Linked DNA regions of Danio rerio. The main gene of each other region encodes a partner of the protein of the gene in region 3 in a complex. Links are inferred from orthologs where the notes say so. Each region holds a gene or a part of one and is shown on either strand. Other genes may lie near its edges.

Region 1 (6,344 bases), on a different chromosome or scaffold from region 3:
GTCGCCAATGGAAATAAAACAGACACGCACAAAAAATGTGCGTACGCCTGCCAGAAAGCTGCCGTGAAGGTGCGCACATTCCCACGTTCAGTTCATTGTTAGTAAATCCAAACGTGAGCGATTCTGAGCGTGAAACCTGGCGTACGCAAAGTTTTTGTGCGTACGCAGCGTTGATACATGAGGCCCCTGAAGTTCAATTTCAAACAGTTTTAATTTATTTTCAAGATCTGAGGTGAACTATCTGCTGCTGCTTTCAGTAGTATGGCAATAAATGTTATGTAAAATGGCATTCAGACTCACATTATTTAACACTGAATAAAGCACATGAAGTGTACCTGAGCTGATCAGTTTTCTGTTGTTCAGCTGCAAAAAATAGAAGCCATTTCTAAAATATCAATTCAAGGTGTTAGTTAGGACAAAAACTCCTTTTAGTATGGAAAATATTCTTTCTATCACGTGCGGCTGCTTTGATTAAGCTCGATCGTCAGACTCTCTCACGTTTGTTTTAATCCAGGAATGTAATACTTAGTTCAACCACTAGGTGTCAAACTTACATACCGCACCTTATTATATCATGCATTATACTGACTATGCATGGTTTGATTACAAGCAAATGCTAAATATTATATTATTTTAAAATCATACTGACATACAGACATAACAGATAAACCAAGAAGCTAAGTGTAAACTCACATCCCGGATGATCTGGACCAGACTGTCTGCGGTGCAGCCCGTATAGCTGACACTCTCCACAGCTGGCAGCAAGTATGGAGGAGAATTACAGAGCAGTACACACACCTTGTGGGTCTGACCACTACATAGAGAAACAAAAGAATCAAAGAATCACCAGTGATAATAGGAAAATTGTCTCCAGTAGGTCATTTCAGCATCAATATTGAGATTACAGTTGACCACATTACAGTTCAGTACAGAATATACAGCTCAGAGCATTGTGGAGTCATTGCAAAGTTTAACCTTAGAATGAAAGTTTTCACTCAGTGAAATTAATTCATTAAGGAACAAGAAATTATAACTTTTGTTGCCAAAATATTACTTAATATAACATTTACACATTTAAAACTATACATTTTAGTTGTTTAACAATAACAGTTGATTATTCAATTCATGTACCCGGCTCTTTTAGACTCTCTAGAAAACCATAAAGCACTGTTTTTCCCTTTGTATACTTTGCTCTGAGGTTTTTAGCTATGCTTATATTTTTATATAATATTTTAAAGATAGATACGCTCGCTTACAATGAGAATCTCTTTAAAAAAAAGAGCTATTTAAGTATCAGTTGTACTTATAAATCAATGAATAATCACAGAAAAACACATTATCGCAATTTCAGTTTTTCCCATTATCATACAGCCCTAATGTGAACATCACTTTTTTTGATATCAATTTTAGTTTGATATATTATACAGCCCTAGTCTTCAGCATTTTACTGATAATGTAGTGCACATGATGATGGCATCCCTTAAAAATGCAGTGTCATTAGTTTTGTTGTACTGGAAAGAACTCTGCACAAATTAATGTAGACTGATAAACTATTATATTTTTAACTATATGATATTCACGACTATGTAAGTCTTATGATCCCTTCTTTGCTAATAAAGGACTATAGGGACATTCTAAGCACAGAATGAGTCATCTGGGTGAGGTAGAGTTCCTTCACATCTCACATCTCCAATACTTTGCTTTCCACCAAACACAATTTATCTACTTGTGATCTCCTTTTATGTCATTCTGTCACATTAAGTGTCATTTGATGTTTTCTAATGAATGATTAATCTACTAATGTTTAGTTATGACCCGAGGATAATATTGCATACTTTATAATGCATATTTACATCTCCCCCTCTTTATCTCCTCACATTTCAGCTGGTTTTGGGGAATGGTATTTCACTCATGCCTAGAAATGTATCTGTTGTTCTCTGTCTTTGCTGCATAGCAGAGCAAAAATCAAAACTAAGCTTTTTTGTATACATTATGTTTAGGGTAGCATATCATATTGTTTGAGCATCAATATCACAGTGTGTGTGTCCGCAACAGTCAAATTGCAGGATTAAATTATTTATTAAAGAGTTAAAGATAAATTATTAAATATTATTTTTTAATAATTATTGAAATGATGACCATGTTATTTTATGCTTGATTGTTCAATTTCTGTACCTGAAATACTGTTAAACTTTCCAGAAAATTACAAAGTATGGTTTATTTAACTTTTTTTCTGGCTCTATTGTGTGTGTGTGTGTGTGTGTGTGTGTGTGTGTGTGTGTGTGTGTGTGTGTGTGTGTGTGTGTGTGTGTATATATATATATATATATATACACACACACACACAAAGAGTTTAGAAACAAAAACCTCTAAATACTGTCTGAAATTGTCCTCTAAAATGTGCATTTTTAATCAGGCTCCTGTGTGTATGTTCAGTAATACCAATTTTATGGCAAAGAACAAGACCTTTTCTTGGTCTTTAAAGTGAAATATCTCAACATAAACAAAGAAAGCTGAAAAAAAAAATTCAAACTTTTGATAAACATTTCAGACGGCACTCAGAGGTTTTTCCATCTGAATATATATAAAATAATTTATGTATATGCAGTGCATAGAAAAAGACCTGATCATCATATTATCTAAATGAATAAAATCTTTCTAAATAGAGCTATTCAATTCACCTGGTGAAATTGTACTCTTATCGCTATATATATTACAGAAAACAAAAAATATTGCAATGTCTCATATTTTCAATATTGTGCAGCCCTAATAATGTTGATATATTTCATTCTACTGTCTGTATATTAAAACATGTAACTTAACATGAAATGTTCTTTCTTTTACAGCTTTAAGATTATCTCTCTTTATCAGTGATGTTAATAACTTTAACAGTGTTTGATTAATTATGGTGGAGTCAGACAAATAATTGATTATTACACACCATCCTTCAACTGCTTTCTGTTCTGATAATCTTTATAAATAGTGCTGTGTTCAAAGATTTTTCTTGTATTTACATTTCAAAAAAAGTCATTTTAAAATACCTTAAGCAAGCTGATTAAACCCTCAAAAGCAGATTTGTGATTTCATAGAACAAGTTCAAGAACTCACATTTGCTCCCTCATCTTTTTGAAGTCGTCAAAGAGCTGCAGGGCCACAGAAAGACCCTCAGCTATAAGACTGCAGCTCTCTGCTCCACCTCCCATGAACCTGTGCAACAACAAAAAAAAACTGTTAAAACTGTTCTCAGTATTTCAATCACAATATCTTTAAAGCAGACATTCACTTAAAACCTTTATCCCAGACTTCCTGACATAAAATAGGATTACAATGGGATTCCTTACTGAATGCTGTCAATCCAAGACACAAACTCGAAGGCAGAGCTGGTTGGAGCATGGCACTGGACATATGACTCTGGAGCACAATCCACTGTGTTGAATACCACCAGTCCATACTGAGTGCCACCATACTTATAAAACAAACAAGATCATCAGAATTGAGATGGCAGAAATGTAAAGAGAAGGTATAAACAGACTCCTCCAACTCACATCTCCTCCAAAATCAGTTTCAGCCGGTGGTCCTCCATTAAAATACCTGTAAATATATTAAATAAGTCAGTTCAAGTGTCTAACAAATGTACTGTATTGTAATGAATGTCATAAATCTTACTCTATAGTAGGCAGTATGTAATTATTCCGAAGTGATTCAAAATATGGACCAAGGTTTGCAGTTCCTTCAATGACAAACACCACATCTGACACCTGATTCAACCCAGATTTGGACGTGGGGTCCATATGGGTCACCTTTGGTCTACAGCCAACACAGATATAAGATCAAACTCATATAGAAGATTTGCTGGAATAAAACGAAATATTAATGTTTTATAATGTTTTATTGATGAATGACTTTATATTGGTGTTATTTGCTATTATTTTAACATTATTTCCATTCTAAATGCAAGTAAACCAAACCAAGACATACATATTTGGCTGTCTTAATACCTAACGTTAGTAATACACATAAACAATTTTTTTTAACTGAATCATTCATTATGTCCGTGCCAAAAAGCCTAAGAGACTTATTTTAGATGTGATATATTTGTCTTATCATTACCTAATTAACGAGTAAATTCTTAAAAACACAATATCAATACAAATAAATTAAAATGTAAAACGTGAACACTATCCATTCATACAGGTCTTAGCATGCTAGCCGCTAACCTCAAATGCTAATTTAGCTCGGGTGTCTTACCTGCTAGAATTAGTAGAACTGGCTTTTACTGTGAATAAAACAAACCGGTTCAGTCATTTATCTTGATTATATCCGAACCAGCCCCTGGTAGTTTTATTGTGTATTAAAGCTTCATCTGAAAGTAAATGTAGAGCGTAATGACAACAAACATCGGGATTTTTGGCTCGGCAATCGACAGTACGGTCTGGTTTTAGATCTTGAAAGTGGACTGGGCTGGTGAATCGATTTATGAATGATCAATTTAGAAACCAACAGCAGCGACGTCCTTTTCAGTCGTCATTCTTTGTTATTATCATCCTTATTATAATCATTGTTATTTTTGCGGTTTAAACACGGACATAGCCATTGTATTGTTAGATAATAAAAAAATAAAATAAAATAAAGCTTAAGAAAGTAAGTGGCTTCGTCGATGATCATAACAAATTGCATCATCTTTATTATTATCAATGATTATCATTACAAATTATTGTTATTAATTATTATTATTATTATTTAAAAGTTTTCTGAAACAAAATGGGCATTTTAAGGAATATATTTAAAATTGCCTTAAATAAATTAATTATTTAAATGTTTTCAATGATGGTAAATAATTATAATCAATATTATTTTAAGGCATAATAATAAATACAATTATTATTAATTATTATTACCAATTATTATTATTGGTGATATATCATTGATATTATTCTTATCATTATTATCTATTATTATTATTATTGTAATTATCTAAAGGCTTATCTAAAATGACCATAATTATTTTAAGAAATAATAACAAGACTTTTTTATTGTTACCAATTTTCTTTATTATTGTTGTTGGTATTAATATTAACTATTATCATTAATTAGAATTACCATTTTTATTATTATTATTATCATGTATTCTTTTTCTTTTTCTTCTTCTTATTATTATTATCATGTTATCTTCTTCTTATTATTATTATTATTATTATTATTATTATATAAAAGTTTTTTAAGCAAAATGGGCATGATTCAGTTTAAAGAATCGGCCTATAATCAAAATCATATTAAATAAATTCATTATTTAAACGTTTTCAATAATAGTAAATAATTATAATTATTATTATTATTTTAAGGCATAAAAATAATAACAACAATTATTATTACCAATTATTATTATTGTTGGTATATCATTAATATTATTCTTATCATGATTAGTTATTATTATTTTTCATTCATTTATTTTCTTGTCGGCTTAGTCCCATTATTAATCTGGGGTCGCCACAGCGGAATGAACCGCCAACTTATCCAGCAAGTTTTTATGCAGCAGATGCCCTTCCAGCCACAACCCATCTCTGGAAAGATCCACACACACACACATTCACACACACACACACTACGGACAATTTAGCCTACCCAATTCACCTGTACCGCATGTCTTTGGACTGTGGGGGAAACCGGAGCACCCGGAAGAAACCCACGCGAACGCAGGGAGAACATGCAAACTCCACACAGAAACGCCAACTGAGCCGAGGGTTAAACCAGCGACCTTCTTGCTGTGAGGCAACAGCACTACCTACTGCGCCACTGCTTCGCCGCTATTATTTTTATAATTATCTAAAAGCTTTATGAAATAAAATGAGCATGATTCGGTTGAAAGAATATATTCAAAATAGTATTAAACAAATTCATCATTTAAACTTATTCAGTAATAATAATTATTATAATCATTGTTATGGGTGAGGCAGTGGCGCAGTAGGCAGTGTCGCCTCACAGCAAGAAGGTCGCTGGGTTGCTGGTTTGAACCTCGGCTCAGTTGGCGTTTCTGTGTGGAGTTTGCATGTTCTCCCTGCCTTCGAGTGGGTTTCCTCCAGGTGCTCCGGTTTCCCCCACAGTCCAAAGACATGTAGTACAGGTGAATTGGATAGGCTAAATTGTCCATAGTGTATGAGTGTGTGTGTGTGTGTGTGTGTGTGTGTGTGTGTGTGTGTGAATAAGTGTGTGAATGTTTCCCAGAGATGGGTTGTGGCTGGAAGGGCATCCGCTGTGTAAAAACTTGCTGGATAAGTTGGCGGTTCATTCCGCTGTGGCGACCCCGGAGTAATAAAGGGACTAAGCCGACAAGAAAATGAATGAAT
Region 2 (6,216 bases), on a different chromosome or scaffold from region 3:
CACGTGTCTGCCTTCCGAAATACAGTGTGTGTGTTTTCTCGGCCTGTCAGCTGTTAGCTCAGCGGCTCTTCAATACCCACACACACATGCTTGTTTTTTGTGAAAAGTGGGGACATTACATAGGTTTCCACTCATTTTATACTGTCCAAACCATATATTGTATTGCCCTCACCCCACCCCTAAACCCAACCATCACAGGAGAGTGTGTGCAGCTTTACTCTCTGATTAAACTCATTCTGTGTGATTTATAAGCATTTTGAGAAATGAGGACGTCACCAATGTCCTCATATTTCACCCCCTTTTTGTAATATCATACCCATGTCATTATACAGATTTGTGTCCTGATATGTCACAAAAACATGTACACACATACACACACACACACAAACCAGATTACTGGCATGCACTTAACAGGTATGCAAGCCAAGCAGTTTACTAAAATGAGCAATAAAAGTCTGTTATTGATACTCTGCTGGCTGATTTGCATGTTGATTTTAATCGCGAGCTGTTTATGTTTTATTTAGTGTGTTGTATTTAACCCAGTTTGTGTCATTTCAAAATGTCACTTTATTTTCATTTTGTCACAGATATTAAATCAGTGTGTTAGTGGAAGAGTACAGGCTACGTGTGTGTGTGTGTGTCAAACATTTTGGTGAATTACATTTGTTTGGGATGGTTATATATTTGAAAGAAAGAGAAAATGTTGACTTTAGCGATGACGAAGCTTCATTTCAATGGCACAGGATGGCTTCTGAAAACGAGGGGAAAACGCCTCACAGTAGTTGTTTTCCATCCTATTAGATCGCATTTTTTAAAATCTCGAAGTTGGCGCTGATCGACAACAGGATTAGTTCCAAGATGATAAAAGCAGGGAAAATAGGTAAAGTCTAGATCAGATATGCGGCCGGCCGGAAGTGTGATATGCACATTAATATAGCAGCATTTTTTTATGACGCTGTATAACAATAATTAATATTTTTATTTTATTAATATTTTTACTGTCACGGTTAGGTTTAGGGTTGGGGTAGGCGTTAAAAAATACAATTTATTGGGTAATTTAATAGATACCATAAATAATACTCTGTACATCTACTGTTTTTACATTACTGGGATGGTTGGGTTTAGGGTTGGGGTGGGGGTAGACGTTAATAAAATACAATAAGTGGGAAATTTAATAAATAATATAATTAATTCTTGTTAACTTCCGGCCGCAAACGTATCCGATCTAGCAACAACTGGTAAAATAGATTAAAACTATCATTTCAAAGCTGTCCAACTGACTGTTTATATGCATCAGCTGCCGACCGGAAGTTCTAAGCATTCTCCTTGAGCATACATGCAAAGCATAATGGGTAACTTTGCTTTCTAAGAAAAAAAGGTCTATACTGAAATAAAACGTCTCAGAAATCTCCATTACCTTGGCGAGAGAGACAACATGACAAATACCGTTTAAAACTAGTAACATTTTTGAAATACATATTTTTATTTTTTTCCCAGAGATGGGTTGCGGCTGGAAGGGCATCCGCTGCGTAAAAAACTTGCTGGATAAGTTGGCGGTTCATTCCGCTGTGGCGACCCCGGATTAATAAAGGGACTAAGCCGAAAAGAAAATGAATGAATGAATGAATATTTTTATTTAAAGATTTTAATTAGCATTTCATCAATTACAAAAAAAGAAAACAATCATCAAAAATATTCCAAATAAATGCAGTCTTAACACCTATTCACCGAATTAAAAATCTCAGTCTGTAGGTCATGTTCTCTACATGAGTCTTTTGGGATCAATCTTCTCCAGGTGAACGAGAGGTTTGAGCTGTTCTGCGAAGCTCCTCATGTCCTCAGACACAGTGTCCTGTCCCGCAGGAGCCAGAACGCTCAGCTCAACAAGATACGACAGAGAGAGCGGCTCCGTGTTATCCGTGTTTCCAGGAACCAGCACACGCGACAGTTTGCTCACCACCACCTTCATCACACCCTTCCGGAACACCTGACCCTTGGCCACGAACTCATGGTCCATGCGGAAGCCCATCTCATTGAGGAAGTCAGGCAAGCTGTGCGAGGCTGCCACGTCCACGCAGTTCCGCACCAGGGCATGACGGCTTTTGTCGCCCACCTCGGGCTGACCCAGATAGCGCAGGTGCCAGGGGACGGAGGGGTCGAGGAGCGAGCGGCGGGCACGCAGGATGAACGGGTTGCCCTGCTGACCTTTCAGGAGATACACCAACTCGTGATCAGCAAAGCTCTCAGGCTCCATGTTATCACACAGGCCCCGGAGGCGATGCAAGAGACTCTCCAGAGATTGGTCCAGTACACTGCCTGTGCCAAACAAACCAACAGAACACAGCCAAGTCAAGATGGATAGATAGATAGGGGGTGGGATGGATGGATGCATAGATTAGGGGCATAAATAGATAGATAGATAGATAGATAGATAGATAGATAGATAGATAGATAGATAGATAGATAGATAGATAGATAGATAGATAGATAGATAGATGGATGGATGGATGGATGGATGGATGGATGGATGGATGGATGGATGGATGGATGGATGGATGGATGGATGGATGGATGGATGGATGGAAGATTAGATGGATGGACGGACGGACGGACGGACAGATAGATAGATAGATAGATAGATAGATAGATAGATAGATAGATAGATAGATAGATAGATAGATGGATAGATAGATGGATGGATGGATGGATGGATGGATGGATGGACGGATGGGGGATGGATGGATGGATGGATGGATGGATGGATGGATGGAGGGAGGGACGGATGGAGGGACGGACGGACAGACAGACAGACAGATAGACAGACGGACGGACAGACGGACAGACAGACAGACAGATAGGGGAATGGATGGATGGATAGATAGATAGATAGATAGATAGATAGATAGATAGATAGATAGATAGATAGATAGATAGATAGATAGATAGATAGATAGATAGATAGATAGACAGACAGAAAGACAGACAGAAAGACAGACAGAAAGACAGACAGAAAGACAGACGGACGGACGGACGGACAGATAGATAGATAAATGGATAGATAGGGGAATGGATGGATGGATAGATAGATAGATAGATAGATAGATAGATAGATAGATAGATAGATAGATAGATAGATAGATAGATAGATAGATAGATAGATAGATAGATAGATAGATAGATAATTTAAGCCTGTTCCTATACATCAATAAAAATAAAATTGTAATTGTGACTAATTTGTCTCAAGTAATGTCACAATTTCTCGCAATGTGGTGTCAATTTCTTAGTTAATGCTTAATAAGTCACTAAAAAAAAGATGTAATTGTTTTAATAAATTTAGTTATTAAATAATACATTTCAGTTGTATTTTTTTACTTACATTAACTTATTAACTGTAATAAATGTCGATATCCCTCACTGTGGCTTTTTGTTTTAATGTATGAACTAAGATTTACTAATGAGACCATATTTTGAAAGTGTTATTGATTATACTTTATGAATTAGCTGTATAATTTTGTTAAAAATGTATTTACTCCGAACACACACAAATCTGGTAACGGTTTAAGTAGGAATGGTAATATATGACCAAATAAGCAAACTATATTATGCAAACAATAAGACTCAGCAAAAAGAACTCTCGTGTAGCACAGTGCATGCTATAATTGTATAATTTAAATTATAACAATTGTAAATTATAATACTACAAACACTACAATGAATACATTGTATACATACTATTATTATGCTAAACTATTCGTTTTATATAACGTTAGCACATTCATAAAGTAATACTGTAGTACATGTTTTTATTATACAGAATCCCAAATTAAAAGTCTTAAGGAATTAAAGAAGATTAGGGTGCGTTAAATAAAAATAGTTTAAAACGCTAGAAAATGTGTGTGTATTGTTTATAATTACATATTCACTTTAACATATTCAACGCTTTATTCAAATGACTTTGCTAATTAAAAAATTGAGATTGCTCATAATGGGTATTTAAAAACTAAGTTAAAACTATTTAATAAAGTGTAACAAATGATAAATAGGAATGAATGAATGGTAAAAGGAGTTGTGCTGATGGTGTTGTTTACCTTGCAGAAGATACTCCATCATGTTTATAGTTCCACCCGTGACGGGCATCACAGTAACCGGCGGAGCCTCCATCACTCTATTATTATTACTATTACTAGTATTATAATTCTGAACTTAAGTCTCTTAATACATTTACAGTCAACGATCAGTTGAAAGATTAACTTAAACTAGAACTTTAACTGCTGTAGAAAACATCCACAACAATAGACATGCTAAGACGTGTTAGAAGATATTATCAACAAAAAGCAGGCAGACGATGAATTAAAAATAGCATATATTGTACTTGTATCAAAAAGCAATAAACAAAACTAATGATTTGCGTAAAATACTACGAAAAAATAATGTGTCTCGATGAAACTGCGTCCATGTGAGTAAAGCGCATGCGCAGTATGGATAGCGAGTACTGCGCATGCGCATTGTGCAACGCTTGCTCTATTCTTTTAGGCGTGCATTTAGTGACACCTACTGGACTGAAGTGAACTCTTTATCATATAAAATGGGTATTAAAATTGAGTATTATTAGCCTATTATTAATAGCAGGAGAACATCAATTATGGTTGCGAAAAGCCGATTGCCCTGTTGATCAAATTCAAGTCAAGGTGTTTGCTTGCAGAAAAACTAATGGCTCTAAGAGGTGGGTGTGATTTTGCCAATGCAATCATGGAGTGACATCTATCCTGGAACATGTCCTACATGAAGAAATAATTAGGCTATTCCTAAAATACAATATATTTTTTTTTATGGAGTAATGGAAATCACTATTTTAAAATGGAAAATTATGTGTAAACAAAAATGCAATGGTGGGTTATCGGTGTTCATTTTTTAAAACTTTAAACAATACATTCAAAATTAATTGGTTAATTAAATACAAGAAAGAAAAAGACAGTAAATGGTATACTTTTCCATATGGCGCAGTAGGTAATGCTGTCGCCTCACAGCAAGAAGGTTGTTGGTTCGAGCCTCGTCTGGGTCAGTTGGCGTTTTTGTTTGGATTTTGCATGTTGAATGTCCCTCCCTGTAGGGACTAAGCCAAAAAGAAAATGAACGAATGAATGAATGAATGAATGAATGAAGTTATATTTTGTGTCAAAATTTAGTCAATGAGGGAAGTTACTTTAAGTATATTATACGTTTCAGTGCACTGGCAGGACTTTTTTTATTAATATTGTTATTATTATCATCATCATCATCATCATTTATTATTATTATATTGTTATTTTATTATTTATTTTTTCTAGCATTTTCTTAGTTATGTGCATTTCTCATAAATACCTAGTTTTATAAGCTCACGTTAAGCATATTTTCCAAAAATTATATTGTTTTAATAATTGTTATTATTTCATATCATATTATTTCCAAATAGCTTAAACATGCATATTTACCATTTACATGCAGTACGTACGTATGAACCAATGGTATGAACCATGAACGCAAAGCAGTCGAGTAACTTTTATTGTGGAAAACATTAAATGCACTGTGACGTTTATTTTGAAAATAAATCGACATGTGGAGACCTTTATTTTGAAGTTTCGTGCCATCTTAGGGCTGCATGACATCGCTGGCTGTTGAAGATGAGCTCAACTGTAATGCTTCCTGTCGACATCTAATGAATGTAATTTACTATTATGTGTCTTTTACTTACGTTTGGATGCAGTAGTGTTTGTAATCGAGACAGTTATGGTGTTGTTACCAGCTCCAAAGGTGTGTCTCCGAGTGCTGTGTTTTTCTGTCAGTCCTTATTTATTTACACACATTATCAGTCTGACACCTTCAGATAGGCGAATAAATGCCTCAAACACATTAGATAAGTTGGTCTTTTAAAGATGTGTCGTTTTAAAGTTGTTCGTTCCTGTGCTGTTTGTCATAAACAGTGTTAAATGCTAACAGTAAGTTAGCCCAAGTTAGCAGAGCCAACGTTAGTGTTTTTATATTTAAATTTCCTCTTTTAAGTGTAAATGCTGCAGCCATTTTGAAAATGTTTGTTCTGTGACATTTAAAGCTTACATACAGCTTATAAAATGTATTTTGTTTGTGGCTAATTTATTTTTATAATTATTATAATTTTATTATTATTATTATTATTATTATTTGTATCACAATAGATTGCTCTTCAGAAAGTTTATAAAT
Region 3 (6,669 bases):
GCAGTCAGGAAGCTTTTAATGAGGGAAGCAGTTCCACTCTGGTTTTGCTTCCGTGGTAAGTCACGTGATTTGGCCAAGGGATCTGTTTTTTTTACTCAAAAGTCTAAAGGATTCCACAACAACAAAATTAATGAATGAACGAATAAATAAATATATAAACATATAACATAAATATCATGCGTTTATTGTTGTTTCTGGTTTCTCCAAATCGTATTAATTTATTATTGCGTCACGTCATAATAGAGTGGAAAGGCTATTTAGTACAGCATCTATGGTACAAGTCACGCAGTAGAAGTAAGTAAAGATAAACATGCATAGCGCTTGATTGCGGTGGGGATGACCTCAAAATACGAAATAAGCATATTTTTCATGAGGATTGTTTAGATTTCTGCTATTTTATTAGAGACAATATTATTTGTAGTTCAACTTTGTTTGCAAATGTTTTAATTGAATTTTTACTATACATAATTTACAAATATATTTGCTCAATGTATTCATTCTGTTTGGAAAGTTTAGTACAAATAATTTCAAATACAAGCCATTATTTTATTCATTTTCTCTGCGGTCACCACAGCGGAATGAACCGCCAACTTATCCAGCATATGTTCTACACAGAGAATATCTTTCCAGCTGCAACCAACCCATCCAGTACTGGGGAACATCCATACAGTCTCATTCACACATACATTCAATTCACCTATACCTACCACTTCTTTGAAACCGGAAACCGGAGCACCTGAAGGAAACCCGGGGATAACATGCAAACTCCACACACAAATGCCAACTGAACCAACAGGGACTCGAACCAGTGAACTTCTTGCTGTGAGATCTCAGTGCTGCTAACCACTGAGCCACCATGTCGCCTCAAGTCATTATTTGTGATTTTGAATCAGAATTTAAGCTTTACTTTCCCAGGGATGGGTTGCGGCTGGAAGGGCATCCGCTGCGTAAAACATATGCTGAATGAGTTGGCGGTTCATTCCGCTGTGGCAAACACCATATTAATAAAGGGACTAAGCTGAAAAGAAAATGAATGAATGAGTTGCTTTACTGAAAAATGATAAGCTGTTAGCTGTAAATATTGCCATGTTTTCATTTGATGTGCGTATTATGGAAATAATAATAAGCAAAACAATCTAAATTTGAATTGTGTTAATTTGAATTAGACAATTGTAATTTAATAAATCTGAATTTTTATATGCCGTTAAAAATTGTTTTGAATTTCTTAGTTTGAATTTTCTAACTTGAATATTGAAATGTAAGACAACTGAATTTTTCAAGGCGGAATTTTTTATAGACATATTCTCAAACGTTTGATTTTTTGTGTTAAAATATTACAGTAGGCTATTTTTTGACTGAAATGCATTGAAATCAAAATGTCCAATGGGTGGCGCTAAATCTCTCTTTGTCACTGAATTGTTCATTCACATTCGTTATTTAGACCATATATATATATATATATATATATATATATATATATATATATATATATATATATATATATATATATATATATAGATATATATATATATATATATATATATATATATATATATATATATATATATATATATATATATATATATATATATATATATATATTTCCAGCCCTGAATTTCACAATCTGAATTTCTGGTTTTGAATTTTATGATATTGATTTGGATGTTCTAAATTTCTTCATCTTGAAAATTTGAAACTGTATTTTCACAAACTTAATATCTACAGTCTATGAACTCAGAACACAAACAAATCAGGCTTGAAAAGTTCTTGCATTTCAGATGTTCAATACTCAAGTTATGAAATTCAAATTCAAATGAAGAAAATCAAATTTAAAAGATTTTTAATGTCATAAAAAAATCTGATTTTTAAAATTAAAATTGTTAATAATTCAAATGAATACAATTCAAATTGTGATTGTTTTGGCACATTATTAGCTCTGTACGTCAAACCCTTTCTGAGACACACACACACACACACACACGCACGCACGCACGCACGCACGCACGCACACACACACACACACACATACACACACACACACACACAGAGAGAGAGACTTAAAAGGTTAACTTAAACATATAAATTAAATTATAAAAATGTATAAACAAAAATAAAACGTTTATATAAAAAAAGAGAAAAATAATATATAAATAGCGTACATACATACATACATACATACATACATAGATACATACATACATACATACATACATACATACATACATACATACATACATACATACATACATACATACATACATACATAAAAGCATAGGAACAAAAAAGCCTTTTGTTAATAAATAATGCATAACCATGCATGAGTAAACATTTTTGTTAACGCTTTTATGCTTCAAAAGTAACGTAGATAGACAAATACAGAAATAGATCGGAGCTCCAGCCCAATAGGGGGTGGTAAGTATTAGATGAGTCTTTGAATCCGGAAAGAGTCGACGAATACAGGCGCTCAATGATGTGATGTGCAGCTTCAAAGTGCTATTTGCTGAATTAGAATAGATTTGAAACGCCAGAACAATTTATATTATTAACAAATTAATTTATGTTCGGACTTATTAGCAGGAGCATGTAGTTTTGAGTCTGCCATACCCATCATTTTCTTCTGTTTCTGTACAGTAGCGGTGTTTGCTTTTGTTGTCTCCCGTAGTGATTGTGAACACATTCAAAGGTGTTCATTTGGGGCATCTGTGCTGTAAACAGTAAGTTTCCTTCATTATATGATGGATATCGCATATGTTTGCGAGTGGGAGAAGAGACCCAAGAGCAACCACTGTCCTTCAATCCCTCTGGTGTGCGCCTGGTCATGTAGAAACCTCATCGCTTTCACCACTGACCTGAAGAATGAGGAGGATGACAAAGGTCTGGACAATGCCTTTATTACCAATATTACCACTCCTGTTGGTGAGTTATGAATGGAGGACAAGAAACAACATACATTTTCAATTCGTTTTGGATCCAAAATACATAGAACAATGGTGTTTATTTATGATCAAGCATTATATCAGCAACAACAATCATGTTTTTTTTTTCTGTTGCAGATCTCAGTCATATGATACACATCATTGACACTGATCACCCCTGGGATGTGTACTCCATCAATTCTGGTCACAATGAGATAATTTCCTGCCTAGAATGGGATCAGTCTGGTCAGTCATCATGATGATAAAGATGAAATGGGCTAAACATTTGGCAATATGTGCAGATCATATTTGACAAGTTTTTTTTAGAAGTAAAGTTTCCATTTATTTTAGGTGGGTAGTCTCAGTATTGTAAGGGTAAGCCTAATTTTACTCGATTAATGTACTGCGATGGTCTTAAATCAGTACAGATTAGATACAGAATAATAAAATCTAATATAATATTTATTTTTATTATAGATTTTTTGTAATAATATAATTATTTTATAATTGACATTTGAATCATTTTAGAGTGTTAAAAACATTTGAAGAGAGACGCGTTTCAATGTAAAACCTAAATACTTTTCCAAATCAGGGTTTTTACCATTATCAAATACTAAAACTATTTAAAAAATCTGATAATAAAGAAAAAACTTGTATTAAATGAAAATTACAAATGTTGCTTTAGCAAGTAACAGAACAGAAAAAATATATATAATTTATTAAAATAAAAGTAAATCAAAAAGGCAAATAAAAAAATTATACTTTATATTATAACAAATGAAAACAGTAGTGCAAATAATACAATTGCTAAATTTAATATGAAGCAAAAAAGCCAAATCAAAGTATGAAGAAAAATAATAATAAAAAAGGTATATTCATTTTTATTTAATATTCATAAAACATTTATTAATTAAGTTGTTTATAAAATCAGTTTTAGGGATACTCCTAATAACTGATTAACCCGTTAACTTAAAGCAGGGGTGCCCAAACTCAGTTCTGGAGAGCCGGTGTCCTGCAGATTTTAGTAGGGATGGCTGACGTGAAACTGACGTTTCGACACAGTTTCGAGATCCCGAAGCACAAGTGTTTCGAAACACTGCACCGAAGCATGATCCGAAACACCCAATTCACGTGACTAAAGTGTTTCAAAACACCTGGACACGTGACTAAAATGATTCAAAGCAACAATCAGTTAAGAAGTGTTTCGAGACCTTGCGAATCTGGATGTAACTGCCGGCGTCAGTTTCAAAATCTGTCTCATATGGCCTGGTGGACTGTGCCTGTACACGCTGTTTTTATACTTCCAATGACTTTTGGGTTTGAATCCCGACTTGTACAAATACACCTAAATCATGGTTTTATGTATTTTAATCATGTTTCTGTTTTATGGTGTAGCCTAAATAGATTAAAGCTGAGGATACGCCATCAATATAGCATCATTTTTGTAACACTAAAACAATAATAAATATTTTTACAGTACTGTGATGGTTGGGTTTAGGGTTTGGATAGACGTTAATGAAATACAATAAATGGGAAATTTAATAAATAATATAAATAATTCTTGATACCTTCTGGCCACAACTGTGTCTGATCTAGCAACAACTCTGTTTTAATACCAAAACAAGACATATTTATTTACAAAGTGTTTATTCGGATGTCAGACCAATGTTGAAACAAAACGAAACAAGAACAAAGCATTACCAACTGGTATTAAAGCATTTCAAAAAAGCCGTATCAGCCTGGATTCAAACTCAATATCCCCACATGGAAGTCAGAAACCTTAACCGCTCCACTAAATCTCTTGAATAGATACTTTTACAAAGTGGGGTGTAATACCTCAATTTGCTAAAATGTTCTTGCTGAAGCTGTTTCAGTGCAATACATAAAAATGACCACTAGGTGGTCACCGTAGAGTGGGGTTTCAAAACATTTCGAAGCTTCGACACATTTGCTTCGACTGTTTGTTTCAGTGTTTCATGAAGCCTCGCTTTGCCCACCACTAGATTTTAGCTCCAACTTGCCTCAACACACCTGCATAGATGTTTATAGAAAGCCTTTAAAAAGCTTGATTAGATAGCCCAGGTGTGTCTGATTGGGTTGGAACTAAACTTTGCAGGACACCGGCCCTCCAGGATAGAGTTTGGGCATCCCTGTCTTAAAAGGTGCATTTTAATCTATTATTGGTATCAGTTAAATGATTAAAAATGTATTGTTTTTATTTTATTTAAGTTTGGCTGCATAAATGTGCAACACATATTTGCTTATTCGTGAGACAGTAACATGTGCAACTACATGTGCCCACAGACATATTTTGCCAAAAAAGCAAAATGAAAGAAGGATGATGCTGGTCACAGTTTGACACAGACAAGTCGATGCCAAAGCAGCACTGATGCTGATTGCTAAAAAATGTAGCGGAGCATTAATTAAATGCGGTTGTTATTATGTTTGCATGTTAAAATAAATCAGTATTTTAAAATGCAATATTAAATGTGTCGGACACAAAATAGACACGTCAATTGCTTTGTTTTAAATTAAATAGTAGTTTAATATTAATCTGACCAGTTAGCAGTTAATATTCAGTTAATGAGTGGCAGATTTCGATTGGCAAAATTAACCGAAATGAGCATCCCTAATCAATGTATTTGTTCAAATAAGTCAATAATGTTTGCCTCTTGTTAGGGTTGGGCCGATAGTCGATGCCATCGTCCATCTTCGATGGCCAATAGACAACACAATGCTGAGCTTGCATCGCTGATCCTCCGCCCCATCACAAACCCTCACGCAAAAAATACACACTCAGGCCCCGTTTGCACAAAGACGTCTTAGTGTAAAGATGGCATTTTAGAACGAAATGATCCACATCTCCATCGTGTTTTACCTAGCATTTCTGAACAGCCCTCCGTCCGCTGAAAACGCACATCACGTGACCACACACAAACACACACATACAGACAGAAACAGACAGACATTCACAGACGCAAGTGGTGCTCACTTCAGAGCCACACACTGTCATGCGCTCCTCTGAGTTCCAGAGACAGAGAGTCGTGCATGTTTGACAGTTTATCAAGGGTGTACCACTGGATTGCGTCTCATTATAGTTGTTAAACTTGATATTCAGACATACCGTCATATGCCATCGTCCATCGCGATGGTTTACATTAGACATTGTATGATGCCAAATTGGTCGACATTGCTCAACCCTACCTCTTGTGTGGTTTGCTAGGTTCGAGGTTGTTGTCTGCTGATGGTGATGGTCAGATCAAGTGTTGGGGCATGACAGAGCACCTGGTGAACAGCTGGGAGTGCGCACAGAGCAGCTCAGTGGACGGAGACCCTATTGTAGCACTTTCATGGTTACACAATGGAGTCAAACTCGCCCTGCATGTTGAAAAGGTACAGTATGTGAATTCCCTTACCTGCCACTGTTACTTTTGGCTTGCTTGGTTAGGGCCGGCGAAGCTGATCTTCAGTCTATTGTCCTGCAACTACAGTTTGACATTCTTATTGAACTGGGCTGCATTTCCCAAAAGCTTAGTTAGCCTACAGTATGTAGATTCTAAAAATAATTGTACGATTGATCTTAATGTTATGGTCTGTGTCCCAAAAGCATCGTAACTTAATAGATCTGGAAAGTCATCAATGATCTATGAGTGCATTAAAATAATTGTTAAAGCTTTATGGCAATTTCAGACTGTATGATTTTCAAAATCTTCTGGTTGCCATTGTTTTCAAACTAGTGATGAGAAGTTTGGAT

What was found. Proteins that work in one complex are often made in the same cells at the same time.
Region 1: the proteins of med16 (region 3) and med25 are in contact, whole or in part, in a cryo-EM structure (PDB 7EMF), measured with the Homo sapiens proteins. The link is inferred for Danio rerio from reciprocal best matches to the Homo sapiens genes MED16 and MED25. Residues at the interface, in NP_005472.2 of Homo sapiens: Cys41, Arg42, Ser92, Ser94, His113, Arg161, Lys163, Phe171, Gly172, Gly173, Lys174, Pro195, Gly485, Tyr486, Ala516, Ala517, Gln520, Val521, Thr524, Arg525, Ile554, Ala555, Ser558, Lys561, Ser562, Leu563, Leu564, Arg565, Pro566, His567; in NP_112235.2 of Homo sapiens: Ala26, Asn27, Gly29, Pro30, Tyr31, Val74, Asp75, Cys76, Ala77, Pro78, Glu79, Val82, Cys84, His85, Pro87, Lys102, Phe103, Met104, Gly105, Gly106, Gly107, Gly108, Glu109, Thr120, Gln123, Leu124, Asp127, Phe128, Tyr151, Leu152.
Region 2: med16 (region 3) and med18 share a complex: the UniProt entries of both Homo sapiens proteins name them as parts of the mediator complex. The link is inferred for Danio rerio from reciprocal best matches to the Homo sapiens genes MED16 and MED18.

Annotation. Positions count from the first base shown.
Region 1 is NC_133178.1:29,271,083-29,277,426, forward strand, and holds the start of med25 (mediator of RNA polymerase II transcription subunit 25), read right to left. Parts: upstream 4,428-6,344; 5' UTR 4,249-4,427; intron 3,853-4,248; 5' UTR 3,792-3,852; coding exon 3,667-3,791; intron 3,592-3,666; coding exon 3,546-3,591; intron 3,467-3,545; coding exon 3,342-3,466; intron 3,208-3,341; coding exon 3,109-3,207; intron 815-3,108; coding exon 694-814; intron 1-693. UniProt on the Homo sapiens protein: Component of the Mediator complex, a coactivator involved in the regulated transcription of nearly all RNA polymerase II-dependent genes.
Region 2 is NC_133191.1:7,707,200-7,713,415, forward strand, and holds med18 (mediator of RNA polymerase II transcription subunit 18), read right to left. Parts: upstream 4,428-6,216; 5' UTR 4,162-4,427; coding exon 4,089-4,161; intron 2,317-4,088; coding exon 1,763-2,316; 3' UTR 1,616-1,762; downstream 1-1,615. UniProt on the Homo sapiens protein: Component of the Mediator complex, a coactivator involved in the regulated transcription of nearly all RNA polymerase II-dependent genes.
Region 3 is NC_133186.1:14,599,243-14,605,911, forward strand, and holds the start of med16 (mediator of RNA polymerase II transcription subunit 16), read left to right. Parts: upstream 1-2,450; 5' UTR 2,451-2,732; coding exon 2,733-2,874; coding exon of another isoform or gene 2,875-2,916; intron 2,917-3,053; coding exon 3,054-3,161; intron 3,162-6,138; coding exon 6,139-6,308; intron 6,309-6,669. UniProt on the Homo sapiens protein: Component of the Mediator complex, a coactivator involved in the regulated transcription of nearly all RNA polymerase II-dependent genes.